2 linked regions of the Styela clava genome follow. The protein of the gene in region 1 binds, or shares a complex with, the protein of each later gene. Links are inferred from orthologs where the notes say so. Each region holds a gene or a part of one and is shown on either strand. Other genes may lie near its edges.

Region 1 (16,426 bases):
TTTCCACCGTTCACTAGTAGCCACTGCTAGGTATGGAGCACTTGAATCCCGTTTGGCACTTCGTTCCCAATTTATTGCACCCTTGGATTGTGTTTTAATGATATTTTATTCCATAATCTGTAATCCTGAGCTATTGGCGCCTGACAGGCCCCAAAGTGGGACTCCAACTTTCCTTGCTAGGTGAATCAATAAAACCGTGTTCATATACTCTTGTGTTTTTGTTATTCCTTTTGAATAAAACCTTCATCTCTAAAATACATCCGGATCTTTGTATTTGAAATAGTACAATATTTGGTTTTGCGTATCCAGGATAGAATCCCAGGGGAGTTTGAAGCCGATAAGACGACTTAATCGTATAGCGAACCACGACCTGTCGTCCAGTTACCAGTCTATGTCAGGTATGGAGTTAGGATAGGATTCACATATTTATCCCGAGGGAGAGAAAAGACGATAAGACAGCTTAATCGTATGGCGAACCATGGCCTCTCGTCCGGTTACCAGTCCAAGTCGGGTATGGGATTAGTTAGCCAGTTATTTGTTTTCGGAAGCATGGACTTGATGGTAGAGGAAGCCGTAACTGACCAGTGGTTACGTGAACCACCCTACGGCGGCGAGGAGTCCAGCAATCCCCTCTCACATGATCATCCCTGCATGGGATTCGAACCTGCGATCCCACGAAGAGTAATCAGAGATGCGTTGGCGAGCGTATTCCTAACGCTTAGCACAATTATTTTTGTACGCATGGATTTGTCAGAATCGAGTCCGCACCAAACATGATTCTTTAATTTGGAGCATTGCCCCATTCATTTTGGTATATGAAGGCGTTTAAAACCAAGTGCCCCTCCGGGACTTCCGTCACCCGGATGAGGTCATAGCACTCAAAAAGACGAATCCCATGCAGCTCACCGAAATAAATGGAAGCAATAGCCTTGTAGGGAAAAATTCCATCTTCAACCACTGAAAATTTCAAAGCAAATGGTCCAGTAATCAATGAGAAAAAAGGTTTTTACATAACGATACCAAGAATAATTCAAATAATAAGAAGAAGAGTGCCATAAAATGCAAAACGATTGTCATGTCCACTTACGTGTCCAATATTTAAAAAGGTGCTCACAAAGTATGTGTATAAAGATGGCGCACAACCTGAACACAATATGTGTACCCGGTTAGTTTTCAGGTTGTGCGTCATCTTGGTACGAATACTTACGGAGCGCCATAAAAACACACGCAGAACTTTTCGGATTGGACTGAGGGGGCGATACGGTCATCAGAGTCAGCTCCCCTGTGTTCACCATTTTAATTTTGTATGTTAGATTAACGGGTATTAGTAACATGGCAAGTATACTCGTAGCGCTGCGAGAATAAAAGGGAACTATTGGGGCTTATTTCACTCTGCTCTGCGGATCGTTAAAGAGACGGGAGAAGTTGTTGAGAGGTTATTACATTTAATAATCTACCTAAATTTTTCTAAATTGCGTTGAAAGTATTGCCCGATTCTGAATCCCGGTCACTTTTTTTGTGCTTGTTTCATTTATTTTGGTGGGTTGGCACGTACTTTCAAGTTTTTTTTTGAAGTGTTTTGGTGTTTCATTAATTTTTTGTGCTCAATAACCTGAATCAGCGAGCTTTTAAGGTGTCGCTGCCTGAAGACCTTATGAAGTCCCTCGCGACTCCTGTCACACAAGTTAAGTTCATATTGTGTTAGAAATGTTTTTTTTTTCCCCTATGATACGTTTATTTTGTGCTGACGAATAAAATGATGATTGATTGATTATGCTCGCCTCCCAGGTATCTCTGCATTTTGTTTGTCTGTTTACATTTAGTGTTGTTTATGTGAGAGAACTGAAATAAAATGAATGAATGTAGAAAAATGGTTCGTTGCTCGCTCGAAATAGTTTTATTCACATCAATCAGTTGTATTTTCGTAAACTTACAAATACCAACGTGTTTTATCATCTATACCTGACATGGGCAAACTACGGCACGCGGGCCAAATCTGGCCCGCGGGGTAATTTAATATGGCCCGCTTGATGCTGCCACAACCAGATTAAAACCAACTTTTGCTGTTTTAGCTGGAGATTAACGCAAGGAATTTGTTGAGATTGCGATTAAATTTAGTTTTGACACGAGGTTTACTGTTTTCCACTTTTGCTTTTGTAACACTGTAAATATTGTTCATAAGATGTAACTTTTTACGTCACACATGGCCCGCCAGTCTAAGTGGGCAAAAGTTTTGGCCCCTGGCCCAAAAGGTACACAAACTGGGGTCAGTGATGACTTCACACGGGGTCAGCAAAGATAAGAAAAGAGTCTGATCGATTTTTAATGATTGGTTTCAATCAAAATGTCAATGCGTCTTCTTCGTTAAGTGTTGTAGACGAATATCCATTTCTGTCAGAAAAGGAAATTGAACCTACACGACCTACATATGTGTGGCAGCAATTTCAGTTCTTGCCAATATGATGAAAAAATACAGATCCAACTTGCCGTAGAGTCGGATCTACGAATTTGATTGACCTTTCCCCGACCTTTGACCCCCGAAAAATTGCGAAAACTAACGAATGGAGTTCAAAAATGCGAAAACGAGGTAATGTTTACGACCACGCTTGAAAATCTGTCTGAGTGAAAAAAGTGTTTGAGCGGATGCGAAAAGGGAGCATTGTTACGTCACTTTTTGCAATTTGCTGATTGGCCAACGTCACGAAGTAAACAAGGAAGTCGATGCTCGGGGAAAGGTCCATTGCTCCGAGAATCGATAACTCGTGCAGTGAAAAGCAACCTCATACAGTATATTAACGTAGTTTGCGTTGTTGTTTTGTAAATGAAACATCCTTCCTCGTTGGTTAGACATAGAAATTGATACGACATAGGATGGGAGTCGGTCAAAAGTGAGATTCACAAATAGGGATCCCCGGCCCAAAATAGCTTGGGAAACCCTGCATTCTACCCTCGTAAAGGCGCGTAAGCAAATACAACGACTCATATAAAACATGGGTCATGGTGAAATCCAAACTTTTGAGTATTAAAATTGATTTCGTTTTGGTGCAGACAACTATAAAATAATTTTGATAGCTAAAAAACATGTTAATGACACCCTGATGCCACATAATTAACTTGTACTCATATATAAGGTTGGCCGATAACTAACCATTTCGATTCGAAATATTCAACTATTTGCAATTTAAAAGTACTGACAGTTTACTTTGGTCCATCACTGCTTTAAAGGCTCAATTTTTTTCACTGCGACTAAACTAAATTTACTCGGAAGACAAAATGCCAATGGATGTTTACTTCCATTGTTTACTTCGTAACATTAGCTAATCAGCAAGATGCAAAAAGTGACGTATCAATGCCCCTTTTCGCATCCGCTCAGACACTTTTCCCACTCAGACAGATTTTCAGGCGTGGTCGTAAACCTAACCTCGTTTTTGCGTTTTGAATTCTATTCGTTAGTTTTCAGTTATGTTTATGAAATATAAATCAAATAATTCAACGATCACTTCGTCTTCCTAGGAGTTTTAATTTAATTGCAGTAATAAATAATTAGTGTAGAAATAGCTGTGATAGACTAGGCTAAAATTCTTTAGCAGTAGTTTTAAAAAACAGATTGTTGAATTCTATGAATCAGAATGATGGTTTGAAACAAATGCCCCATTTTACAGGCTCCAACTCGCGAAACCACTATTAAAATGATCACCGAAAATTTTGCAATGGTAGAGTATAGAAAGAATTTCCCCGAGTCAAAGGTCGGGGAAAGGTCCATTGAGTTCGACATTTCAATCCATATATATATATATATATATCGATGACTCCATGGGAATAAAACACTTGTCTCGAAATAGCAGAGTATTTGTAATAATATTCAAAAATTGTTTTGGGGAAAAGTAGCCTAAATGTGAAGTGTAAATCATTACTATGAAATGCTAAATATACTCAAAGTTGAAGACATAATCAAATTTGAAATATTATCATCAGTTTATGAATATGCAGTCAATTTCTCTTTACTTGTTCTGCATTTAGTTGTTGGTATGTCGAGTTCTCCTCATTCAGGCTCCTGATTTACTCAAATCAATAATTTTAGTAGTCGTTTCCTAATATGCATTCATTGAATATTGTACTCGTAGATTTATTTTCCGTTTTTCAAAGCCGTTTCGTGATGATCAATTTAGCAGCTAGCTTCTTCAACATATATGGTGTCTACATCAACAAAGTTTGCAGACTGATGGATCATTCATTACAAATATGAACTGTCTCCAGTTGCTTCCCAATGATTAAATGAAGAAAACACATAGGAAAAAAATTGAACAATGGCTCCGATGATCTTACATATTAATTTCAAAATGATCCTGTGAAATACCAATCTTAAATTCCTTTATCCTCGCTGAAGTCAATATCTAAGAATGAAAAATAAAACTAACTTATGTATTATTCGTCCCGTAAAAACAATATAAATGAATTAGTAATTATAAATACTGAAGACGGGATGTATGCACAAGACCATACTGACCTAAAACACGAATGTGCAGCATACACCGCACCCTTAGTAACTAATATATTCCTATACCCTATTTTCCTACTTTAATTCAATTATACTAACTTATACTGTTACCGGTGACTTCAAGTATTTATTACAATCTGGAATATAATTTGGCTCAAATTTGTGGAAATGAAGTGGTCTAGTTTCTAGTAGACTCTAGCCCACCTCTTCATAAACTTATACTTATATACATAAAATTTTGAAAACAGCTAAAAACTGACAAATCGTTAGCAAGACCACAGAAACGGGTCCGTCCTTTCGACTTCTTATTCTTGTGTGAACTTTTGTCATACTTTCATAGTGGTCGCTGCTTGATGAACAATACTGGTTTGGGTTTATCGCGTTTCCTGTCACCATGTTCATCATTTTTTTTTACCTCATTTTGTAATTACAGCGTGTATTTGAAATACGGTGAAAAAATAAACTACTGATTACTAGGAAGGGATATAAGTATATATTTATGCGTAGGTTAATGCTAATAAGTCGTGTACTCAGTAATTAACTGCAGAATCTCTGTCTAAAATTTTGAACCCATTTGAAATCTCTTCAAATTTTAAAAGCTCACTTCACATACACACAAAAAAAAAAACGATTTACTATAGCCTTCCCCTCCCCAAATTTATTTTTCCGTTTTGTGGATACAATTTTAGCAACCATAATCGGTGTTTGCTGTTGTTGCTGGCCCATTCTGTTGTTCTGATCTTATCTGATGAACACATGCTCATGGTTTCGAATACATGTATTGCAATTGTATATATTTACAAATACAAATGACAGTTCCCAGTCATGGCTGATAATCCAAGATTCAATGCACGCACAGCGAGTCGATAATTCTAATCGTCCATTGTTCTAGCCCACTTTTTCTCCTAACGAATGGCCGCTTTTAAGCTGGTTTTGGTATCCTCCGTGTATGACGCGATATCTTCATTATAGCCTACAGGGCTTCTAACTGGTATGTGTTTTTATGATTAAGGGCTTATTTCTAATTTGAAGATTAGAATGATTTAAGTTTGAACACGTAACACTATTAACCAAAAACAAAAATAAATTAACCAATATCTGAAATTGTGAATCTTAAACATAATAGCGAGAAGGGGGAATTGACTTTGTTGGCCGTCTGGTCGTATGACTCCCTCCTGTCTATACCAAAATAATTTATTACTTGTTATTATCTTTATTGGACACGTAGTGGACATAACGATCGTTTCAATATTATGTTGTTGTTGTTCTTGTTCTTGTTGTTATTTGACACAGAATAACACACCTAGCGGAAATATTAAAAAAAAAAAAACGTTTTTCTCTTCGAATACTGGACCAATTGCATTGAAATTTTCAGTGGTTGAAGATGAAAATTTTCCCCAGATGGCTATTACTTTTACTCATTTTAAATATTTCTGTTAGCTCTGTGAGATTTGTTTTTGTTTGCTATGGCGTCATTAAACGTTCTGCGGACATCGGACGCCGTTTTGTGTCCTACTGTACTGCTTCGCTTGGTGTGAATATATTTGTAGACTGTGATCTGACGGTACGGTACACCGTACTGTACTGCGAACAGACGTGTCCATATATTTGGGCGTAGCTCTCTTGTTATTATTGGACACGTAGTGGACATCACGATAGTTTCAATATTATGTTGTTATTGTTGGACACGTTTAGTCGACATAACGATCGTTCCAATATTATGTTGTTATTGTTATTATTTGTCTCCATCATTTTTAAAAAATCGCTTTTCTCTTCGAATACTGGACCAATTGCTTTGAAATTTTCAGTGGTTAAAGATAAAATTTTTCTCCAGAAGGCTATTACTTTTTTTCGCTATGACGTCATCAAAATTATTGCCATTGGGTGGCGCTACATGTCCATATATTTGAGCATAGCTCTCTTGTTACGATGATTATTGTTTCATTTTAGTTGACAAAAAATGGAATATCTCTCTCTCTGTAACTAATTTACAGCTATACCACCAGTATAAACCCCCATAGCTGTCTGATATGCATACGCTAGAAATTGCATAGTTTATGCATCGATATAAAAATGATCTTTTTCCCCCTATTTTTATTAAATATTATTTCACCCCAATAAGAAAGTACATGAATACTGCACCAGGTCCCAAATAAACAAGATTTTTTTCACTCAACAAGTGTCCACTAAGATGGACAAAATATCTTTGAAGTATATGTGTGTACAGGTTTGGGGCCACCTGAAACTAAAAAAGTTCCGTCTATGTTTTCAGTAAGAAATTGAAAAAGTATTTCCTACTGATATATTCTAATTTGGCCTGATATCTTAATTAATCAATTCTCTTGATTTATATCTTGAGTATAATATGTAATTACAGTAAGTCTGTTGAAAACCGTTTTATAATACTATAAATTTAACTGTTTCATATAAATACTTCTATTTCAACTTTTGCATGTGTATAATTGGAAGTTAATGGTCTTTTCTCTTTCTTGTCTGTCATCAATGTGATGATTATTATTGTTTGACTTCAAAAGCCATTGTTAATGATATTTCTAATTGTTGTTGAATCTGTGATAATCTGATTGGCTCGTTATTTTTTTTATTTCTTCATGTATTTGAGACCTGTACATGTTCAGTGAATATTTAATCACAGAAACTACAATAAATAATTGTGAAAACTAATCTTGACGTTTGTTCAAAGTCTCTGGACCTGTCCGCAGTAAAAAAAATTTATGTGACCTATTTACCACCGCGACTTGCATTATTAGATTTGGAATATTAAATTGCCGACTCGCACATATATATTTGCTATCTATTTTTATCCATGTTTCATCGCCAATGCTTTATCTGACTAATTTCTTATATACAACATTGGTCAGAAACCTCGGTGACTTAACCGGTTTTGTATGCTGACCCTCACAAATAATGATAACCAATTATTATTGAATTATCAATTTTTGTTTCTGTCTTATCTTATTTTGCTTCAAATGTTTTATAGTGTTGACATTGTAAATTAAAATCTCTCTCTCTCACTCTCTCTCTCTCTTTTATTTCCGCGTTTTAGTAGGTCACTGCCGCCATTTTAAGGTGCACGTTGAGATCTCGCATTCAATTTCCTTTGCGCCGTGGTCGACTTTGCCTTTCAGTTGTGTCAAATTCCTTGTTAAGTTAATCATGAGTGATATAAAGACGGGAACGGGTAAGGTGAAGTTTTTTAACGATCAAAAAGGATATGGCTTTATTAAATTAGATGGAGGCGATCCTGAAAATGAAACTGAAATTTTCGTTCATCAATCGAAAATACAGATGGAAGGGCACAGGACCCTGTTCGAGGAGCAACCTGTCGATGTGACTTATTTTAAAGAAGAGAAAGGCTGGAAAGCGGAAACTGTTGTGCCAGATACGGATTGGGCGGAAAAGAATGGAAAAAATAATCGGGGAAATAGAGAACGTGGTGGTTACAGAGGTCGAGATGATGATGGTTATGGGCGTGGTGGTGGTGGCGGCGGTTATGACAGAGGTTATGGCAACAGATCATATGGCGGTGGCGGAGGATATGGAGGCGGCGGTGGAAGCTATGGTGGTGGGGGAGGATATCAAGGAGGAGGGGGATATGGAGGCAGCGGTGGTGGTTATCGTGGAGGCGGTGGATACGGTGGAGGTGGAGGCGGTGGATACAACCAGTACGGGGGTGACGGATACAGATAGAGAAATTAGCTCTCAGGTTAAAGTTGTCTTATTTGATGTTTTAATCAGTTGCCGGCGAGTAGGCAGAGCCTTACCGACTTTGTCATGCTTATTGCCAGGTTGTCATTAGCAACAAAATCATCAAATTTTATGACTTTGACAGAGCTTTAGGATTTGACTTTCATGTAGAGTTTTGTAATTATTATCAATCACGGCTTTTGTTTTTTTATAATCAGTGGATTTTCATACTTAGAACTAAAAAGCTGCCAAAGCACAGGCAGGCTGTCAATCAGGCCTTTCAGTGTCTTGTTAAAGGTTTTTCAGCTATTTTGCCTCAGTTCATACATTCAGCGTCTTTCAGATTTTGTCGTTTTTAGTCGAGGCTGTAACCAATTTTTTTTTAAAGTTCTTGCTCTCAAGACGGTCAAACAAGTTGAAAATATAAAACTGTTTACCAAAATACCCACCATTACCCCCCCTTAAAATACCAAAAAAAATTATGACATTGCATTGCCGTGCTTGACAACCATTTAAATGGAATGATTTTTCAAAGATGTGCATGTTTTCCGGTTTTTTAAGTGATGTACAATATTCAATTTTGGTCTAAAGTCGTTGTTTTTCTTGTTGTTTGTGAAACATATGATATTGTCTTTCCTTCAATGACTTTGCATAAACTAGGGATATCAATAGCTAAGAACTTGGATATCTTGCTTGAAAATGATAAATCAAACACAAGCGCGGAGTTATTTGGATAGACGTAACTTAGTCATTTCGAGTTGTTAAAATCTTTTTCAGTTTTTCACACATATTTTATACGAAATATGCGAGTCCTGGAATAATTCATGTAATTGTTATAAAAACTCTGATTAAGATGTTAATGTTAGATTTTGTGATCAAATTCAGTTATTTTTAGTAAATTGCCAAGTTTTTTGCATTCCTCACCACAATTACTTAATAGGACGTTAGTATGATAAACTATTTTTTGCTAAAAAGGTATCGAAGACATAATAATGTTTGCAGTCTCATTCAACTACTATTTGTGGTCTCATTTCTTTCATCTATGCTGTCTGTCACCCAACTCCAAAATTGCCGTTTGTGAATATTTTAATTCGTTTGAAATATTAATATTGTCAATTTCATGCCGTTCGACCAGCTGTACATTTTTTATTGCCGTGCTTACAATATACTCAAATTGTGGTGTAATTTGACTGTCAGAATCAAAAAGTTGTTAGAATTGAAGTTTTAATGAAGAAGGTTGAAGGTTTTATGGAGATAAAGAATGCACACAATCAATATTAGCCATGATATGTTTATCAGTAGATCTCGCTTCAAATATCCAAATAATACTTAATTTTGAATTTAACAAGCGGCTTCAATTAGAGTGAAGTTGTTCAAAAAAATTTGAACTTTTTAAAAATAAGTTTTTGATGGAATAATTTACTATTATCTAAATTTAAAAATTGTCATTCCAGAGGCGTAAGAGCTTAAAAAATAACCTAAAAAATGAGTTGTTCGTTAACATGCGATACTTCTTCGGTTCCCAACAACACAGTCGTAAAATAATAAGGATAGGGCCAAATTTCTGGTTAAAAAGATCTTGCTGTTTTGGTAAAAACACTGCTATATATATATATTCAAACCGTGATATAGCAGAAAAATTGACGCCCCCTGGAGTATGCGTACCAAGATTGCGGACGCTGGAATGTAGTATGTGTACCAGGTTAGGCATAATTTTAGATACATATACTACGGGAGTAACTTGGCTAGTCCCTGAACTTGTAATATAACTAAAATTGGAATAAAATTATGGCCTAACCCAAACCTGATACACATACTACGTTCTGATGTCGGCCATCTTGGTACGTAGGTATACTTCGGGAGTACCCAAAAAATGTGATGATGGACTCCATATAGTCTTTATAGTATCTGCCATATCTACTCTGTTGAGCCCACGAAAAGTTGTGAGTTCTGTAATATTGCCAAGCCTGGTAACCAGACAAAGAGGTCTGTAATATAATTAAGCCCCAGTTTTTCTTTCCCTCAGGGTGTGCGTAAAAAAAATTTTCTTGAGTGCTCGAACATGATCACTAGTCTTATCTTCAAATACTTTTGTATTTTGAGAATTATTTGCCAGAAATAATGCTTCAATTAAACATGGTAAAAAAGAATGGAATGTGCTGAAAATAGCCATAATTTGGGTGGGAAGGGCTATTGATCAACTAACTTAATTTCAAACCCTAGTCCAACCTATTCAGCTATTCAGTTTGCAATTTCTAATCATTTTGAAACTTTTCGATGGAGTCCATGCCATTTTTAAGCTAGAATTGTTTCTATTAAATTTTCATAAGGCAGGTCAGAACAAGATTGATTTACACAGACAAGGTTGTTGTGAGCTTGTTATTTGCTTGGGAGGGGCTCATAGGCATGCAGAACCAGACCTGGTCTTATCTGGAACTCCATAAGTTTGTGCCAAGTGAAGAGTCCATTCACCTCGGAAGGAAGATTTTCCATGACTTTCTGAAAGCGTGTGACAGCATAAATGATATGTAAGTATATTTTGATTTGTGGTTTCCAATAATAATATACAGATATTTAGGACCTATTCCAATTATCCCCCCCTCCCACACACACACACTAATATATGAATGCTCACACTCGTGTTTTTTTATGGGGCCCATTCATCTTTATCAATTCGTCTGAAGACGTAGTGAGATGGCGTGCGTCAATGGTGTAAAAAGGGTTGACTAGTGTTTATCCCCATGCTTCTGTTGGTTCACTAGTTAATGCCACGGTTCAAATATGTTTCGGTTCGAGCCACTCACCCGAGTTTTGATTAATAGTAGACAGATATAGTCCTTTGTGTGAAATTAGTGTACTCTTTACGACCCCAAAAATTCTATGCGCGCCCTCTGTGGGGTCGTGACCCCGGGTTTAGGGAGCCCTGATCTAGAGCCCTCTTTGAACTGAAACAGCATAATGATGCATTGTTTGTCACCCATATTGTAATAAATTAAATGCGTTCTGAACATGATAGTCGAAAAATCCTGATTTCCGAAATAGCAGCTGTGTGTCAGGGCGTTTCTCAGCCTGGGAAGCACCCTGATATTTTGAGTTCGTATTCTGATGCTTATGAGCAACATAATAATGTCTATTGACAAACGCAAAGACATTATTATGCAAATTCAATGTTTGAGGCCAATTTAAAAGTTTGGCGAGTTAATCTTAGCATTTCCGTGAAAGGTTAACAGTTCATCACATGCATTATACAGGGTGTCCATATAGTCCCTTTTCAATTTTGTTATGAAGTCAGTTTTCAATATATCTTAACCAGGTTTGTTGTATTTTAATCAGTAATTGTTCAAGTATTTCTAATTCATTTAATACATCTGTGAGGGCCAAAACAATGATTGGTATCGATAAATTCCCTTTGCATTTTTAAAAAATTTTGAGACTTCATGGACACCCTATATATTAAAACAGATTCTCGGTTTTGAATGGAAATTTGTATGTTTCTTCCCAAATATCAGTATCTATATTCCCATGTAGTGGTATTTCTTTCTCCTTTAGTGTTTGACTGGCATTTGTTTCAAGTTTTGTGGCACCCGAATCTCCACTGACATCTGTGTATAGCTGCTTTTAGTATGTCAGCAGCGCTGGATTAACCATTAAGCAAAATAAGCACATCCTTGGTAGGGGAACCGCAGAAATCGTCAAAGACATTTATAATTGTGCCTTGTTGTTAAATGAAATGATTAGAGTTGGTCAGACGTCTAAGACCTTAATATTGATCGGTTGAAATGAATTTCTGTTTATATTCTTTTTGGAGTATCACAATTATAAACTCTATTATAAATGTTCACAGCCATTGGAACTATTTCTGAAAAATATTATGTGAATTAATCCTAACTTGGCCCTCAATTAGTAATGAATACTGAGACTTGCTAATTAAATTTGGGATAACATGGAGCACAAGTTTAAATATTTTAACTTTTTATATATGGGGCACCAAAGTCTTGAGTGCTTAGGGCCATCTGGCCCTGTATTTTGACGTCCATTCTCCCCACTTCCAAGAATTTTGGCGTTTGAGCAAACTGATGTTGGAAGTTAGGGACATAGCAAGGATTTTTCAAAGGAGAGGTTCCGAAATTTCTAGTTTAATAACTACGGTAAGTTTGACAGCTAGTGGGTCCGGTCAGAAAATGTGTGTTAAAAAAATTTCTATGTATGATACAGAATTTGGTTTTTCCTATTTAAAAAAAGGGGGGGGGGGGGGGGGCACGCAAATTTGGGGGTACAGGCAGTGGTGTATGAAGGGTAAGGCTCGTGCCATGGGCGCCGTTTAAAAAGGGACGCAAAAAAAAGGCAAAACGTTTTATTCAAAAAATGCTTCAATAGAATGATTGAAACTCTAATTTTTACTAAAATAATAACGACGAAGAAGTATCTCAATTCAACAACAGTCATTAAAAATTGCCAGTCAACGATTAAGGGGGCGCATTTAAAAATTTGCCATGTGCGCTAATTTACGTAGATAGGCCACTGGGTACACGTAACAGCTATATATCTGATATTGGTGCATTTGTTGCTTAAAAATACAAACATTCCACTCTTACTTGACCGTTAATTTATTTAAACTCGTGTATAACAACATCTATAATTTGTTTATCCCCCGAATTATTTTTGAACTTACATATAAGTGGCATCACTATCACAAACTCGCCCGGGCAGCAAAAAGGTTTGTCACGCTCCTGTTTTAGGTATCTGATATGCAAAATTTGCTATGTTGCTGAGGGCTTGGTGGCCTTACAGTCAATGAGACTCAACTGTTTTGCCATCGCAGATTAATACTCCTCAAATTCCATAAAAACCCAGAGATGCCCTAAAAAAACGTAGCCCACACCGATGGTTGGATATTTGTGAATGCTCGAACAAGGGCTGGGGAGCCTGGAGCCTGGGCATTTTGTTGGAGCTGGATAATAATAGATGGAGCCGAGGCTACCAGGACTTTTAGTGGCTCCAGCTCATAACCATCGGATTATTTTTTCACATGTGGCCCGCCGCTTCATTATCTGTGGCCCGCGTCACATTCGGAGGGGAATTAAAAAAAATCCCATTTTGTGTTGTTTCGTCATAAAATTAAACAAAAAATCTTTTGACATATTGTTACATCATTAATGTCACTGAATTGACTAGTGTTATGGCTTGTTCAGGCAACTAGCGAAGTTAAAGAGCGAAGTTCTTGACACAATTGTGGCCCGCGAACAATGCAAAAGTAATTTTGTGGCCCGCAGAGCTGCCAATTTCGGACCACCCTGCGTTATATAAATGATAAAATCTATCCTTTTAAGCCCCATAACATTAATTTATAAGTGTTAAGTTAAATTTGTGTATCCAAAACTTTGGAGATAAATTTCAAAATTTGGGCTGATATTTCATGTTAGTGGTCAAGGCCACTCACCTGTAAGGCTTTGCGAAATAAAATCGCATTTTGGTGCACCATTACGCTAGTCCTCTAAGCTAGAATGCTTGTTTCATCTGCACTGTATTTTGGTTGTCACTGTTCATTGTGATGTCACACTCATGTTTTGATATTTTATTATACTGTGGTAATATTTTACAAGAGTCACCGAGTTTTACAGTTTGTATTCTTGCTTCCTAAAACAAACATTTGCTCAGTATTAAATTTTCTTAGAACCAAGCCAATACCAAGAAAAATTAATGATATGGAGTCTAAGGTTGAATATAGTGTGGATCTGGAGGCATTGTAATCTATAATCTCCCCAGCCCTGGTTAAAACTGTAGAAAGAATTATGGTTGTGCATAACAAGCCACTAAATACCAGTTGGAGAAAATCTTGCAATTGAAATATCCCGACATATTTCATAATGAAACTATTTCATATCATACCTAATATCAGGAATTTACTATACTTAATTTGAATGCATGGGGATATTCAATTCAGCCCTGGCCTTGTTGTGAGCGAAATGGGTGAGAATAAGTTTTATAAAACTCCTTAGGTATGTGTAACAGGTTAGGCCATAATTTCAGATACAAATACTAGGGAGACACTTTGCTAGTCCCCGAACTTGTAATAGAACTGAAATAAGGAAAATTGGAATAAAATTATGGCCTAACCCTTACCTGGTACACATATTACATTGGTACTTAAGGAGCACCAAAATTATATCTCTTCTCCATGGGATAAATATAAAGTCTCAATATTTTTTTTGTTTCAGCAAAAGTATCGAAATCATTCCGAGCAATGCCGAAGAAAACACAAGCCCTATTGTTATCGAAGGTGACCATATCGGCGTGAAGCTATGGTGTATTCCACTACTGTTTAAATATGCTTACAATGCTTTGATGAATGAGAATTTGGATATCCAGGAAATTGAAAAGCTGTCTAGGTGAGTGGAGTCTGTTGTTCAATGTGCCATTAAAGAAGTTGGCTGATGGACTGGTTGAATCTAATCTATGTTAGTTCCACAGGTTAAAATCTCTAAAACAGAGGTTCCCAAACCAGGGGTCGCGACCCCAAATTGGGTTGGAGTGATAAGTAGGTAGGTTCGCAAACAGGTCATGGGGTCGCTGAGGTATGGTAGAGGAAGTTTACAACAAATCTAAGATTTGACAAACTATGTTGAATTTAGCATTTTGTACCATGGCTTACTGTAAAACAGGCTCATAAGCATCGTTCTATGCTTATGCTATAGAAAATGTACGTGCTTATTGTGACATCACTGTTTGGTTTTAGCTTATTTTACTAATACCGCCACATGACCAAACTCAAAAGTCCAGTGAAAGAAATTCCAAACTAAAGTTTCATGAAAAATATATATATTGACCTGGGGTCACACTGGACGCTTGAAAGTTCTCCTTGGGGTCATCCTGAAAAAAGCTTGGGGACCGCTGCTTTAAAACCTAGTAACCAGTGGGGGGGGCCAGAAATTTCAAAGGGGATGGGGGTTCTGAGACCATAACAGCTAGCGGTTCCGGTCGACCGGAAAAGTTGTGTTTTCAAAAGTCTCGGGGGGGTTTTAAAATGTGTTTAAAGCGGTGACCGTACATTTGAACCCACGTACATTTGAACCCATGTGTATATTCGCGGGTTCAATCTATATGCGGGTGCTAAACCCATGGGTTAGGGTTAGTATGGGTTCAAATATCCGTAAAACAACAAAAATTTCCATAGGTGCAATAGTATGCCGGTGCAATCGTCGTGGGTTCAAATGTACGTGGGTTCAAATGTAATGGAACCGTTTAAAGCTATGAAAAATTGCTATGTATGATACAAAAAAGAGGGGGGCCGACTCTCCACTAATGGGCTCTTTACATTTAAAAAAAGGGGGGGTTCAACCTTTTAAACTACTTCCCTTGGGAAATTATAGTGTAGAAATTAGTTAGTAAAAGTCGATTTGATAAACCGGAAAGATAATGGTCCTTCCAAAAACTCCAATGATAAATTCAAAATTAAATCAGATTTTTGTAGCTGTGACTGAGACATATCATATTTCACTATAAATTTTTTTCAATAATAATTACAAATACTTACAATAATACAATTATATATATAACGAAAATGTGCATCATGTTATAATAGTCACCCACTTGGATTCAAATTGTCCAAAAACTTCACTTGCATACCATATTTGAGGGGAGGCACGAGGGAACTTTTTTTTCTTATATTGTTAAATTTTTGCGTTTTTTTCCAGATGCGTTGTCTTCTGCTGCCCAGACTGTACCACAGCTTGGAACGAAAGAAAAAACATAATCTTGATGAACTCGATGAATGACAAGACCAATCTTTTACGAAAAGAACTTGCACTGTCCAGGCTGGTACTTATGCAGCGGCCAAAAAGTTCAGAAACATTTGCGCATAGAAGATGGGTTGTTCTTCAAATTATGCGATATCTTTTAAAAGACTTCGACAGTTTAAATCAATACAACAATGCTGGAAATACTGGCAACAATGATCTGTCACATGATTGCTCAAACATTCTTAATTTTGACATTGAAACTCTTCTTGACCTTGTGAGAACAGAGTTATCTGTCTGTTGTTTGGCAGGAGAAAAACAGAAGAGCAATTATAATGCATGGGCACACAGGGCCTGGGTTGTTGATGTTTTATTCAAATTTGCCTGTCAGTTATATAAATCGAAAGAATTTTTGTCTTGTGCTTGTGTGGATACTTCATTTCGAATTTGGCAAAATATAATCAGTTTCTTGTCCACTGATGTAAAT
Region 2 (16,409 bases), on another chromosome or scaffold:
GACTTTGTCTCAAATTAGGAATATCATCATTATTAAATCCAAAAGTCTCCACATGAAAATCATTTCCGTTTTGAAAACTATGTTGATAGGAACGTACAAGTCTTCTTGCATTCCACATTGAACCACCTTCTAATTTATAAGTTGCAGGTCCAACTTTCCGTGTAATTTTGTGAGGATTCGACAAACTTGATTTGAACTTGTGACCTCGAATTGGTCTTTTTATTCGAACCCAATCTCCGACTTCAAATATAGGTACTTTTGCATGTCTTTTATTATCAGTGTACAATTTTGACTTTTGTTGACTAATTGCAATTTCTTTTTGCATTTTCGGAATGTCAATATTTGTTTCGGTATTCGAAGGTTTGAGACATTCTAATGACAATCTCATTTTCCTTCCAGTCATCAATTCTGCTGGAGATTTTCCTGTTAAAGCATGAGGAGTAGCTCTGTAGTTTTGTAGAATTATTTGAATAGCTTTACCAACTGTCTTCCCTTCTCTCAAATGAGTTTTTAGTCCTTTGGAACTCTGTTAAATCTCTCTGTGATAGAGTTTGAAGTAGGATTGTACAAAGCACATAATTTCTGTTTTATCCCATGTTTTGCAAGAAAATGTTTAAACTCATAGGATACAAAAACAGAACCATTATCAGATGTTATAGATTCAGGAATTCCCCATCTTGCAAATAATCCTTCTAATATGTTTATTAGATATGTAGATGTTACATTAGATGTCAAAGCAACTTCAGGCCATTTTGAATGTAGATCATTTATAACAACAGCAAATCTATCTTTCACAGGTGCAATTTGCATTTCTCCAAATACATCAATTGAAATATCTTTCCAAGGCTCACTAGGCCATGGTATTGATTGAAGTGGTGGTTCGGCAGGTTTGATTGATTTCCCACTCATTGCACAAGGTTGACAATTGTGAACAAAATCTTTGATTTGTGCATTTAATCTTGGCCACCATACATTCTCTCTGCACCTTTGCTTCATTCTGACCATACCAGGATGTCTACTGTGTGCCATTTCTAGGACTCGTTTTCTCAGTACGAAGTATAAATATTCTTCCATACAGATAAATATGCCAGTGTTCACATGCATAAATTGATGCAAGTGCTTCTCTTTCACAAGTTGAGTATTTCCTCTCTGTGTTACTCAAAGTTTTTGATGCAAATGCAACAGGTTTTTCATTACCTTGTCTGTCAATTTGTGAAAATACAGCACCAACAGCATAACCAGAAGCATCTGTAGTTACAATAGTTTGAGCATTTGGTTTGAAATGAGCAAGTATAGGTGGTGATGCTATGCTTTCTTTTAGCTTATTGACATCATTTGACTGTAAGTCAGTCCATTCCCAAGGAATATCTCTTCTTAAAAGTTTCCTCAATGTTTCAGCAACATTTGCATAATTTTGAACAAATTTCAAATAAAAGTTAGTAGTTGCAAGAAAAGATTGTAACTCTTTCTTATTTTTAGGCATGGGGATATTCAAAATAGATTCAACATTTGACTCAAGTGGTAATACACCAGAACCAGAAATTTTGTAACCAATAAAATTAATACAATTTTTAGAAAATTGACACTTATCCACATTCAATGTTAAATTATACTCAGCAAGTTTTCTGAGAACTTTATCAAGCTTTTCATCGTGGTCTGCTTGATTTATACCATGCACAATAACATCATCAATATTATTGACTGTGTTCTCACAATCTTTCAAAATTATGGACAGAATTTTTTGAAAACGAGAGGGCGCTGAACATAAACCATACGGTATTCTTTTATACTGATATATAGAATCATGCGTTATAAGAGCAGTAAGATACCTTTTATCTTTAGCTAATGGCACTTGTTCACAACTTCGACGCAAGTCAAGTTTCGAAAACACTGTAGAGCTATGAAATTTTGATGTGAGCTCTGTCATTGTAGGTAATGGATATTTATCAGGTATTATTGCCATATTTACTTGTCTGAGATCCACACATAGACGAATCTCATTATTTTTCTTAGGGACAATGACAATATTAGAAATCCATGGTGAAGTTTAAATTTTTTCAATAACATCATTATCTTCAAGCCTTTTCAATTCTGCAGACACACTAGCACGAACTGAAAGTGGTAACCTTCTCAGTTTTTGAGATATTGGCTTGACTGTATGATCAACCATGGGATCATGTTGGAATTTTGACACTTTACCTAAGCCAGTAAATACTTTAGCATACTCAGCACGAAAATCAATAGAATTCACAGTAGCACCATTACATGTAACTTTAAAATTCAAACGATCAAACAAATCGACTCCCATAAGACTAACTCCCTTTTTAGTTACAAAAAATGAAAATACATCAATGGTCTCATTTCCATACTGAATATTAGGTAAATCAATAACCCCAATACTTTCAATAGATGACCCTCCATATCCACACAATTTCTGGGTTGTGGGCTTAAGCTTATACTTTGAAAACAATTTTCGATACATGGTTCCATTCATTATTGAGATTTTGGCACCCAAATCAATTAAAAGCTTGGTTTCTATACCATCAATCATTAAAGAACAATGTTTAAAAATACCATTAACAGAATCACTGTTATTTTCAACAGAAAATACATTTTGCACATCATCACTTTGTTTTTGTGATGGCAACACTTGTCTTGTAGTCTTTTGTTTCAAAGACCTACACATTTTCATGAAATGAATTCTTTTGCCACATGCATGACAAATACGATTTTTAGCAGGACAATTACTACTATATGAAGCATGAGAATTTGATCCACAACAAGTACAATGTTGTTTAGCATATGATGAATTTGCTTTTTGATTTTTCCATTGATTGTGATATCTTTGCCTTTGAATTCCTTGCACAACAGGATTTTCTTCTTTTTTGAACTTTGGTTTTCCATTGAAATTGGTTTCTTTCTGAATACGATGTGATTCTTCATGAGCAGTTTCAATTTGACAAGCCAGTTTTACTGCTTGATCCAAAGTCAGTGTATCAGGTTCCATGAGCAACCTTTCTCCAATTCTTGGTGAGATGGTGTGTTCGATTATTTGACCACAGATCAATCATCTGACATATCTGCAAAATTACACTCTGACACTATTTCTCTGAGTGCAGCGACATATTCTATTATTGACTCACCATCATGCTGTTTTCTATTCCAAAATAGATGTCTTTGCATTTTTACACTGTCTTTTTACCAAACGGCTTCTCTAGAGCAGCAACTGCTTGTTCATAAGTATCTGTGTCTGATAACGAATATTCTTTGGCCTTCAATGCCTAAACAATGCAGTAGAATTGCACGTTTTTTATCAGCAGATACATTTTCCTGATCAAGTCCAGTAGCTTTCATATATGTTTCAAAGCTATTGTACCAACGTTTCCAAGGTACTGGTGGTTCACCTGGACTTTGCAAGAAACATTGCGGTGGTGGTAAATGTAATTCAGCCATTTATCACACTTTTCTTCTCTTCCGAAATATGACGTCACCAGTAGTCTACTACCGTAATTTGCCTGTTTTCACTATGTCGTATTTTCAACGACCCTTTAAAAACCATCCCATCCTCATCGCCAATCTGTTGTGTCCCTGACACTGACTAATGAACTATACAAGAATCCAACTTGATAGAAACATCAGTTTAATGAAAACAAACATTTACAACGCTTAGCAAGCAAACTTGTAACAGCGTACCGAATCACTAATGTCACATGAGGTTCTACAAGAATGATGCAATCGTAAACACTTAACGCCAGCTAGTGGAAACTTAAAATACATGAAAAGTCAATACACAACAGATATCAATGTTGGAAGCATTGAAACAAATGCAATGATTTTAAATTGAACTAATCGAAAACGACAAAAAAAACCGATACCCCAATCCATGATTTGTGTATGGACTGTTATGGAACATTCAATCTATTTAACGAGCTTGTTCTTTAGTAACAATTTTTTGTCGCTGTGTTATTTTTGTAATGAAATTGAACTACAGCACCACCATTTTACGTCAACGAGTGTTTTTTATTCCATATTTTTGTAGGAAAGCACTCTTATTATACACATACACGTCTCACATTTTGAAATTGATTCAAAAGGTAGGCTATTGCCCGATTGCTTGTATTTTTTATTATTATTATTAAGTTATGCCCGTCCTCCAGGTACTTTGTTGTTGTTTTGTTTTCTTCAGAGTGACCGAAATAAAATTGATTGATTGGTAATTGAAAACATTTGGTGACATAAGTCGATTCATCAAATTGTATGACGAAACCATCCTTTAATCCTCTCACTTCAACAATCACTTCTTCAGTGTCAACAGACATTTCTTGGCCATGTTGTTTCACAGTATCGTTAGAAAGCGATACACGATCCAACTTCGGCAGCAAGAAGGTTAAAACCGGCCTGTCTGTTACATGCGCTGGCGCTTCACATGTTACCCAAGTCGCTCAAAATAACTTCATCGTGTTTTTTCTTATCTGGGTGATTGGACTCAAGATGTCGCTTGAGGTAACTTCTGAACACAAGCTACAGTCATATAAAATCAACGTCAATTTCTACGTTTTTTGTTAATTCAGCACGCATTTCTTGTGAACAGCCCAAGACTTATGTGATGACTTCATCGAACCACGTTTTTCTACTTTATATATTCAAATGCCTTAGACTTACCATACGTCCCTCTTCAGGCGGGACAGTCCCGCTTGTTAGCGTCTTGTCCCGCCGTCCCGACAAGTCATCCAAACGTCCCGCTTGACTGTTTTTTATTCCATATTTTTGTAGGAAAGCACCCTTATTATAGGCTACACATACACGTCTCACATTTTGAAATTGATTCAAAAGGTAGGCTATTGCCCGATTGCTTGTACTTTTTATTATTGGACACGTTTAGTGGCCATAACGATCGTTTCAAAATGTTGTTGTTATTGTTATTTGTCTCCGTCTCCATTTTTAAAAAATCGCTTTTCTCTTCGAATACTGGACCGATTGCTTTGATATTTTCAGTGGTTAAAGATAAAATTTTTCTCCAGAAGGCTGTTACTTTTTTTTCGCTATGACGTCATCAAACTTATTGCCACTGGGTGGCGCTACGTGTCCATATATTTGAGCATAGCTCTCTTGTTATTATTAAGTTATGCCCGTCCTCCAGATACTTTGTTGTTGTTTTGTTTCCTTCAGAGTGACCGAAATAAAATTGATTGATTGGTAATTGAAAACATTTGGTGACATCAGTCGATTCATCAAATTGTATGACGAAACTATCCTTTTTTCCTCTCACTTCAACAATCACTTCTTCAGTGTCAACAGACATTTCTTGGCCATGTTGTTTCACAGTATTGTTAGAAAGCGATACACGATCCAACTTCGGCAGCAAGAAGGTTAAAACTGGCCTGCCTGTTACATGCGCTGGCGCTTCACATGTTACCCAAGTCGCTCAAAATAACTTCATCGTGTTTTTTTTTATCTGGGTGATTGGACTCAAGATGTCGCTTGAGGTAACTTCTGAACACAAGCTACAGTCATATAAAATCAACGTCAATTTCTACGTTTTTTGTTAATTCAGCACGCATTTCTTGTGAACAGCCCAAGACTTATGTGATGACTTCATCGAACCGCGTTTTTCTACTTTATATATTCAAATGCCGTAGGCTTACCATACGTCCCTCTTCAGGCGGGACAGTCCCGCTTGTTAGCGTCTTGTCCCGCCGTTCCGACAAGTCATCCAAAAGTCCCGCTTTGGCGTTCAGCCATCCAGCATAATACACGAACATTACCAATTAACATGTTCTCGTTATTGTTGTTGCTATGTAGCGCAGCGCTACTTGCTGAAGGTGAATGCGTTATTTTGTTTGTTTCGTTGTTTCCCGCTAACATTTTTAGCGAACGTATCACATGTAACATTGAACAACGTTTTTTTGAAGAAGGTGTTATCTACAGAAAAGCATGATTGGCGAAGTAAATTCTCAATGCGTGAAAACGCCAGGTTATTTTACTATTCTTTCTTTCTTTTGATGCACATTAAAAATCGAAATTCGAATTATTTATATCGTTAACGTCGATTTCTTTCTATTTTCCGAACTGAACCCGATATTTGAACAGAGAATATACGCATGAACTCTCGATGACAATATGGCTAATGAAAACAGTCGGGATAATTTAAAAAGTAACCCTATGTAGTAAAATCGGAAAATGTAAAGTTACAAAATCACAGTAAAGGGTTCGTTGTCTTTGGAGGCGTCCCGCTTTGAAGTCACAAAAATATGGTCACTCTATCTTTACCCCAAATACACTGCTATAAACGCCTTCCAGCGAATACATATATAGTAATATGGAAGATGAAGAGAAAGCGTTGCCGGCATATTTTAGCCGACTCAAAAGTTGCTTGATAATAAATAAATAGTAAATAAAATAAATAATGAATAAAATATCGCAAAAGTTGCTTGTTGCAATATTTTAAAGCTGATCGCATCCCTGAAATCTTCCGCGGTGATACGCAGGTTGAGGGCCACTGGTCTAAAAGTTAACAATTTATTATTTACTTATTGAACAATCCACATTGTGGAACCATTAAAAAAATAAAAGTTACCAAGTAAAAGTTGGTTTTTAATATTGTTAATTGTCAACTCTTTTATATTGTTTTTACGAGACGAAAAAACATGCATACATGTAAGCAGTGGTGGGATTCAGTCGGTTCGAATTTGAATCCCACCACTGCATGTAAGTTTAGGGTTTTGCACGATTTTCTTGGTTTCGCATGTTTCCATTTGCTTTTGATCCGTTTTCTTTTGTTTCGCGTTGTAAGCAGAATGTTAAATTTTTAGTAATTCCCTTTGATCTAGCTGTTTGTTACATGTAACCCATTTGTTTTTCATTTGATTTTTATAAAATAAAAATAACCCGGTATATCATATATTTACGGTTATATGCATGTGCAATGTGTATGTCTGATAATGGACCTTTCCCCGACCTTTGACCCCCGGAAAAATCTTTCTATACTTTACTATTGCAAAATTTTCAGTGCTATTTTAGGGGTGATTTTGCGAGTTGGCGCCTGTAAAATGGGGTATGTGTTTCAAACCATCATTATGATTCAACGCACATAACAATCTGTTTTTTAAAAGTACCGGTAAAGATTTTCAGGCTAGTCTATCACAGCTATTTCTACACTAATTTTTATTACTGCAATTAAATTAAAACTCCTAGATAGACAGAGTGATCATTAAATTATCTGATTTTTATTTAAGTTTCCGAAACACAACTGAAAACTAACGAATAGAGTTCAAAAACGCAAAAACGAGGTAATGTTTACAACCACGCTCGAAAATCTGTCTGAGTGAGAAAAGTGTCTGAGCGGATGCAAAAAGGGGGCATTGTTACGTCACTTTTTGCATCTTGCTGATTGGCCAATATTACGAAGTAAACAAGGAAGTCGATGCTCGGGGAAAGGTCCATAGTGAACAGCCCCAGCGGGTGGCGTGTTGGCTTGAATTGTTTTGAATTTTCATATTCATTTACAGCTGTCTATGAGCTACAGATTTATGAGAATACAGTTTCGGTATGTAGTCTATGCATGTAAGTTTGTTTTCAGATGGTCAAGGAAGCGGTGTGTATGTACCGGTATGGTATGGTAGTTGGTACCATGTAGCACTTACAGCTGTCTATGCAGCTACAGATTTGTAAGAATACGGTACCGGTATCGGTACGGCACCGTACCGGTACCGGTACCGGTATATTTGTATATAGCAGCAGTAAGAATATTCCGAAGAGGTTTGAAAGGCGTACTAGTATTTATAACATTTAAAAAAAATATTTTTTTGCATTATATTCAACATATCACACCTATCGTTTCATCACTCTGTAACTGCATAACTTCAGCTTCAGGGTGCCTAATTGAAAATTAAATAATCTCTTTTCATGAATTAACAAGCATGTTTGTGAGGTGTTGTTAGATCTTATTCTATAATCTCCTGACAAAACATGATAATAAAACTGTAAAGACAAAGGTCATGGAAGTATCTAAAATTCAGCAAATGTTATTCTTATTCATCACTCCAATATTGGCAATATAGTGGTTTGCAAAATTCTTAAACTACGTACCGTATCATTTTGAATTATTCCCCCCCCTCCACACACACCTGCACACCCTTCTTCCTACTACACATAAAAATCTGTCCACATTCAGACATTAATTATTCAAGCTTTAATGAAATATTTACATGTCATGTACGCACATCTGTGTCTTAGGTCAGTAAGGTCTTGAACATGTATCCTGTCTCTGTTTTACTGTTTAATTATTATGCAGATACTGTTACATTTTTGAGGCAAATAAACATACATACATACATTTACCAGATATGTACAATATCTTAATGCTACACTCAATACTCGAATACCGGTCTTACTACTTACTGAATACAGCGCGAAACACCGCAAAGAGCGCAAAATAGCGCGAAACAGCGCAAAGCAGAGGGAAAAGCGCAAAACAGTGGGGAAACAGCGCAAAACAGCGCGAAAGAGTGCAAAACAGAGGGAAACAGTGTGAAGCGGAAAATTTTTTTGCAATGAGTTCGGGGCACCTTGTTTCGAGTTGGAGTACCACGGCAGCAAATTAAAAACACAAACCAACGTATGTAGCCAGTAATGCTGTAATTGCAGGTCTGCCCCTGCTTGTGACACATTTTGGGTACCATAATTTAGAACATTTTCCATATGGATGTGGTTGGCTTTAGGGTTAGGGTTAGGTAAAAAGGGACCTCCAGAAGTATGTGCACCAAGGTGGCGCACAACCTGAAAATAGTATGTGTGTGTGTGTGTAGCGGATTCAGGTTGTGCGACATATTGCTGCACATACTTCTGGAGCACCAAAAAGGTAGATAAAATTTCGCATGATGACCTATAATCCGGTACATAACCTTGTAAATATACCGGAAATAGCGCCATAAAACCATGGCGAGAGGCACCGTGGTTCTTTCGTGGCAGGAGGTGGTAATGACTGCGTCTCCTGTTTTGCGCTGTTTGCTTCTGTTTCGCGCTGTTTTCCTCTGTTTCGGCTGTTTTGCGCTCTTTGCAGTGTTTCGCGCTGTATTCAGTAAGTAATAAGACCCCTCGAATACATACAAAGTAAAACATTCAATTCCTCTTTGTTTGAAAACGCTGCTCGAATACTATCATGTTTGAGCATTCGTGTGTCAATTGTATGGACAGTAATATCTGAATATGGACGTCAGGAAGTTCTCGTACCTTTTGTATTATTTTATACAGTTATAACAACCGATTTTATATTTAATTTGTCCTTTATCAGATCATAGAAACAGGAGTTAACCATTTGCAAATATAAAAAGTTTAAAAGTAGGCGGCATTTTGCAATGGCAACCATTGTCAAAGATGTAACACTGAAGCAGGGCGCTTTAAAGGAATTGCTAATGACAAAGCATTCTACTTATTTAGCTGCTTATGGATCAAAGAAAAATGATTATGAATACTGCATGACAGAGTATCTTCGACTAAGTGGGATATATTGGGGTTTAACCGCGATGGATCTGTTGGGACAAATTGAAGAAATGAATAAAGATGAAATTCTGTCCTATTTAAATTCTTGTAAGCATGATTGTGGTGGATATTCTCCTGCACCACAACACGACCCGAGTATTTTATATACTCTCAGTGCGATACAGATTGCATGTATTTATGATCGATTGGATGTTATAGATGTGGAAAAGACTGTGGAATATATTGAAAACCTTCAAAATGAAAATGGGTCTTTCGCTGGTGATAAATGGGGTGAAATTGACACCCGTTTCTCATTTTGTGCAATTGCATCACTAGCATTACTCAGTAAGTTGAAAGAAGGTGACAGCAAAGTTGATTTGGAAAAAGCTGTTGATTTTATTATTTCATGTATGAATTTCGATGGAGGTTTTGGGTGTCGGCCTGGATCAGAGTCGCATTCTGGACAGATATATTGCTGTCTCGGTGCATTGTCAATTCTTGGTCAACTCCACAGAGTCGATGCAGATTTACTCGGTTGGTGGTTATGTGAACGACAGCTTCCATCTGGAGGCCTCAATGGCAGACCTGAAAAGCTACCTGATGTTTGTTATTCCTGGTGGGTTTTATCTTCACTTTCTATATTAGGAAAAGTTCATTGGATTGACAGTAAAAAATTAATCAATTTTATTCTTGCGTCACAAGATGATGAAACTGGTGGAATTGCTGATAGACCTGGTGATATAGTTGACCCTTTTCATACTTTGTTCGGCATCACTGGTCTTTCACTTCTTGGTGACTCTAGATTGAAGAAAGTTAATCCTGTGTTTTGTATGCCACAGTATGTCATTGATAGAGTTGGTATACAGATACAAACTTTGAACTAATATTGAAAACTTGTGCCACACTGTAATTCAACACGATCAGTGTACCACATGTTGATGCATGCTTTTGCACTATTTGATGTTTAAAGTTGATAGCAAACAATGTTAAGCAGCCTCGAGTTGAACTCAAAAACTCGTACTCAACTAACGCCAGTGTGACTTATCTAAGTGATTAACTCAACTCTTTAGACTCTGATTACCTGTGATTCGACGTGACTCAGGACTTGTGGTTCAGGGGTTTATACCCAACAATGATATTAAATCCTTCCAGAATATTGTTTTGTCACATTCACTTAATTGGAATGTCAATTTGTTAATGGTTCTACTACCAGGAGGTGGGTATGGTTTGCTATTTAATTTACTCTTGATATTGGAATAAAAGTATGGCCTAACCATAACCTGGTACACATACTACGTTCTGGTGTCCGTCATCTTGGTTCGCGTACTTCGGGAGTACAGATATGACTGCCATGGCAGATAGGTACAAACAGTTTTCGACTTGTATATCAGAGCAGACTATGGACAACATGGCTTTCTAACACCCTAATATGCGTGATTAATTTATCTTGGTTTAATGTGAAACACATTGAGATTTCAATAGATTAATCATTCATTTATTAATATACTACTTTTAACAAAATGCCGACTTAAATTATTTGTATAGGTAAATTATTATTGTTGAAAAATTGGACTGAAATAATTTCATGAAGATAACTAAGTGGATTTTTTTTTTAATTTACATTTGTCAGACTTCTTACAGGATGCCAAGTTTTCGTCGTTTATATGTTTATATAATTATATTCATATGTATTTTAAGATATGTAAATCATGAGTGATCTTATCATAGTAATAAGATGTTTCACAATAGAAATTGGTAATATGAATACATTTCCTATTCCCAAGCATAACATAATTATTACAGATCATGAATAAGCATCGCATCATTACTTATATTTAATTTATCATATTTTAAATTGAACGCTTAAGACAATATCTTTTGATCACTGTTTAAAACATTTAAACACTACTATTATATTTGTAGCAGTCATTTCGAATAAAATAATATCATTAATGAAATATGGAAACAGAGGTTGAAATATCTCCAAACGAAAAAGTTCTAGCCGAACAGTTGAAGGCAGTTTGTACACCCTTCGGTGATGAAAGGCGATCAAAACTAAAGGAATCAACTGATATTTTGTTTGAAATGGGCAAGTTATATCTTGAAAAAGCAAAGTCATCTACAGGAATGAAACAAAAACTTGATTTTATAAAATGTTCTGCTTTATTACACGGTGCTAAAGTTCGATATGAAAGAATATTATACGATATAAAAGGAGGAAATGAAGTTCACAAATTCCTCTTATCAATGGAGAAAGTGTTGTTGCAAGCTTGTGGAGGTAAACAGTGTGATATAACTCTCTCTGAATTATCCTCTCATATTTCAAAAACATTCAAGAATCTAAGAAAGGATGAAAAAGCTAAGTTACGTGAATTGGAACCACTTGATGAAGATCTTTCTGAAGATGAAATTCTTGAAAAACAGTTGAATAAAATTGAAACTATCCAACACATGATGAAGGAAAACACACAAAATTATATTGATTTAATGAAATGCATTGCTTATTATTGTATGAAGATTCTAGGAGATTGTCCATGTTCGTTTGCTCTCGTTGGTTTGGGATCTTTGGCTCGGGAAGAAATAACTTTATATTCTGATTTTGAACACATAATAATTCTTGAAGAGGGTATCGATGATTCTCCAAATTATCATGAAGTGAAAGAATATTTTAGATGGTTTGCTGTGATATTTGAGATTATTATGATTGGTTTGGGTGAGACTATAATCAGAAGTGTTGGCGTGAAAAGTATAAATGACCTTTATTCTGAGGATAAGTCTAAAAATTGGTATTACGACAGTTTTACTACTAGTGGTGTATCTTTTGATGGAATGGTTCCCCATGCATGTAGTACACCTCTGGGTAGACAAGAACCAACAAAAAATCGTAAGCACAAAGTTGAACTGATTCAACCTGTCAGTAAAATGGCTTCGTATCTAACATCGGATGAAGAAATCAAAAATGGTTACTATTTGAAAGAAATGCTCATAAGAACTTGCTTCGTTGGGGGAAATAGGGAGTTATATGATGAATTTCAAAGTCATAAAATAGCAATTCTTAATAAGGAGATAAAGTATGATGTTTCAAAAAACATTGAAAGACAAATAACCAGAAACGTAAACTTGATAGTTACAGGAAGGATTGTTACAAATATTGCTCGCAAAATTGATGTGAAAAACTTGTTTTATAGACCAATCACTGCGCTTATTAGTTATTGGGCTCGCCTTCTTGAGGTTCTAAATAATTTTTATCTGACAACATCATCCAGCTTTCTTATTTCTGAGATGATGTGTAATTTTCCTCTTACATATGCGCTTGCAGTTGCTCATGAACTGCGCTTGAAAATATATGCAAAATCGGGATGTCGTTGGTTCAAAATTTATACGGAGGAAATATTTGAATATGTCAGTAAAAATTGTGCTACACATTGCCTCACACAAATATTTGTTCTTAGCGATAATCTTCATGAAAAGGCCAGAGAGGCCATGCTTATAGATAAACCTTCATTTGAAAATCGGCCTAAAACAATATCTGATGGAAAAACTTTGGCCCAGATGCAATTAGCACGTTTTGAAGATGCCATTCCTAAACTTCGGGAAGAAGCAAGTTTAGAAAAAGATTTATTGAGTGCTAAACCTTCTACTGATAATGAAATCGGGATATACGATCTGAGGGTGATTGAAGCCACATTGATGGCAGCTAGACAAACCAATAAATTACCTCCAACAGAGTGGATCAACCATACAGAGATTTATTTGAAAGAAATTATTGAAGATGGTACAGAACATCCAGCTAGGATTTCGTTTGCAATGAACTTGCTGGACATTGTGTATATATTTCAAGTTAATCCTAAAGAATCAATTGAATTAAATAATCATCAATTTGAAAGATTTATTGGTCATGCGGGGACCCAATTTCTGATGCAAATTCGTTTCACCCAAGTAATGCAAATGACGATTTGCATGAGTCCTGCAGAAATGTTAGAGTATTGTATGGAAGGGATGAAAAAAAACAATGACATATGCTCACTCTATGGCTTTAAACTTGGAATAGCTTTTGCAGAAATAGAGATGGGAAACAAAGTTGAAGGTGCCGACAAGTTGCTTTCTTTGGTAAAAGATCTTTTTGAATGCAAGTGTCGTATGTTCGGGAAATTACTTACCTTAGAAATTGTGGCGTATATATTTGAATTTCAGATGGTACAAAACTTATTAGAGGATGCATATCAGACTTTGGAATTAGCAAATATCATTGAAGAATCTCAAATTGAAATTGTTAACTTGGAAGCTGTGAGTGAAGGTATTTTATCAAGTGGACTGGTTGGAATGTGTTATGTGGAAAGAGGCATTGAAGAACAAGACATTAGTAAGGAGAAGGAACTTCTTTTAAAAGGCATAAGTTTCTGCCGGTCACCTCCTACAAGAGAAAGATTGAAGAAATCTACCAAGCACTATTATGAATTGGGCATCAAGTCATATATACGTACATGTTTGGTTTCTACGGAATTGCAAGACGTACCAAATATTTGTAGTCTTTACTCTGATGCTCTGACCTCCTTGAAAAATGACAGTTTCTTTCGTTCATATTTTCTTATGGTTATCCCAAATTTACTTGCTATTTTTATTGCAGAAGAAAATCTGATGTTAGTCCTCTATTCAATATCATTTACTATTGATCATTTACAGAGTTTGTTGTGTCACCCATTCGTGATTAGTGAGATGAAAAGTTTTTTGACCAAAATACTCAAAATTGTACTGTGGGAATCTGTGTTCTGCGATCCTGCTTTGACTGCTATAGTAATGCAAGCAGAATTGGATTCTAATTGTTTAGAAAGTTTGAACAATATTTTATCACATTATGAAGAAAATTATTTCTTTGCATCAGTTGCTACTGTATGGAAAAGATTAATTAAGGGCTGCTTTTCAGCTAAAGATCTTCAACAGATTAATTTTTTTGTTGGACTCAAACTCTTTATCTCCCTTGGACAACATTCTTGTGATTTTGTAACAAAAACTATAAAAGAATACTCTTTGATTGGTGACAATATGACCAGTAATTTGTATAACAAAGGTGTTCAACAATACATAGACAATGACTTCCAATCTGCTGCCCGTTATTTTTGGAAAATAGTCAACAATACCAAACATCGATCAACTACACAAGTACGTTCTATTGTAATGTTGTATCACTCGATTATCAAAAATCCATCCGGATTTGATCGTTGTGTCATCAAAGGTTATTTGAGTTTGACTCAATCTCATTTTTACAAAGGAAGACAAAAGTATCATGTTGCTGGAATACGATAACTTGGAGACGCATTATTATTTGATGATATACATGTGCAGATATTGGTTTACAAACTGTGTAATTAGAATTTTTGTGGATTTTTTAATGTCTGATTAATGTGTGTTATGTCTGGTTACCCTGATAAACAATTGAAGCTTTTCAATTTTGCAGAAGTTTGGATTAAATTGCACCAAAAGTCTGTGATTTGTTTATACAAATATGGCTCATTTTTTCGGTATGTTTGGTTCTATCCATGTTTTGCTGTTTGCTTTGCATTTAGTGCAACAAGTCTTCAAACCATTTTGTGTTTTATTTTCAATACACTGATTATGTTATAGCCTACATATTATATTCTTTATTTGAAATACTACATATTGTTAGATAATTAGTAATTTATTTTTTGATTTTGATTTAGAAATTTCCTATTCTGTTAGATAATTTGTACCATTGTGAAATTACCGTATATCCTTGCATATTAGCCGAGTTTAAAACTCAAAAAAGGGCTGGAAATGCAGAAATTTCCCATTATGCTTGGTCACTATCGTATGAAGACAATTAGGACACAATTTGCTTCTAGATTTTTTGCTGTGGTCGCCCAGGATATCTCGACTATGTTAAAATAGGTTATACAATAATAATTGTAAAATATTTTCAATCAAAAAATTCATTAAAACATTAAATATAATAATCAAAAAATGTTTGGAAGGTGGGTGCCAGGCTGTGTGGGCTTTGTTCGAGATTAATATAATCACTAAAAATGATATTCTGAAGGTAGTGAATTGCGATATTGAATATTAAATTCAAATTGAACATCTCTGGCTTTGATATGGCATTATACGATTTGTAGGGTCGGCTTATATGCGAATTTTCACAAATTTGCTGTCTAGGGCTGTTTAAGTGAGGATATACGGTACATTTACTTTTGCCTGATAGACATATACTAACTAATCTATTTAATGATATTCTGAATTCCAGTGGAATTCAAAGTCTGTTGTTTTTCCATATTCTTCTCTTTAAATATGGAAGGACATGTTATAATTAGTGTGTATACTTGGCACACTACAGTGCGACAATCATACATATGACTGTGGGATGGCTATGTTTCTCTTAGCTGCCGCCCCTGGAGCTTCCATTTCATCATTTTTGTTGTTTTCTTGGTGGATAACTGTGGAATATATTCTGTTAAGTGCACTTTTTCTAATGAACATTTTAGCTATGCTTATGAAAGATTTTCTCTGATGTCCTGGAGAAATACAGTATGCTGTTCTATATATTCTTCACTGTAAATATGGAAAATCATTTTTTATTGAAGAGTACCTGTATGTATAATTGCCAATATTTTCGAGCTTACTTTTCATTTATATATGTCTTAGCGCAACAAGTGTTAAACACAATTTCCAGTTTGAATAATTGCCAATATTTTGCAGCTTGCTTTTCATTTAAATATGTCTTAGCGCAACAAGTGTTTAACACAATTTCCAGTTTGAATAATTGCCAATATTTTCGAGCTTTTCATTTAAATATGTTTTAGCGCAACAAGTGTTTAACACAATTTCCAGTTTGAATAATTGCCAATATTTTCGAGCTTGCTTTTCATTTAAATATGTTTTAGCGCTACAAGTGTTTAACACAATTTCCAGTTTGA

Evidence for each region.
Region 2: the proteins of protein prenyltransferase alpha subunit repeat-containing protein 1-like (region 1) and geranylgeranyl transferase type-2 subunit beta-like are in contact, whole or in part, in a crystal structure (PDB 6O60), measured with the Homo sapiens proteins. The link is inferred for Styela clava from reciprocal best matches to the Homo sapiens genes PTAR1 and RABGGTB. Residues at the interface, in NP_001093136.1 of Homo sapiens: Val61, Lys62, Leu65, Pro66, His69, Leu73, Arg76, Leu97, Asn98, Asp100, Phe101, Thr102, Thr103, Asn106, Lys109, Glu110, Leu113, Ile141, Arg144, Trp145, Pro192, Ser193, Tyr195, Ser199, Ile202, Trp203, Gln206, Val231, Ser232, His234; in NP_004573.2 of Homo sapiens: Lys6, Asp36, Tyr37, Cys40, Met41, Glu43, Tyr44, Ile89, Gly90, His91, Asp92, Asp136, Trp138, Glu140, Phe177, Asp178, Gly182, Cys183, Arg184, Pro185, Gly186, Ser187, Glu188, Ser189, His190, Gln193, Trp217, Glu221, Arg222, Pro225.

What each region holds. Positions count from the first base shown.
Region 1 is NC_135264.1:16,943,712-16,960,137, forward strand, and holds the start of protein prenyltransferase alpha subunit repeat-containing protein 1-like, read left to right. Parts: upstream 1-9,535; 5' UTR 9,536-10,609; coding exon 10,610-10,731; intron 10,732-14,421; coding exon 14,422-14,592; intron 14,593-15,897; coding exon 15,898-16,426.
Region 2 is NC_135258.1:7,571,956-7,588,364, forward strand, and holds geranylgeranyl transferase type-2 subunit beta-like, read left to right. Parts: upstream 1-9,276; 5' UTR 9,277-9,356; coding exon 9,357-10,364; 3' UTR 10,365-11,403; downstream 11,404-16,409. Other genes in the region: uncharacterized protein LOC144427126, read left to right, coding at 11,440-14,784. UniProt on the Homo sapiens protein: Catalyzes the transfer of a geranylgeranyl moiety from geranylgeranyl diphosphate to both cysteines of Rab proteins with the C-terminal sequence -XXCC, -XCXC and -CCXX, such as RAB1A, RAB3A, RAB5A and RAB7A.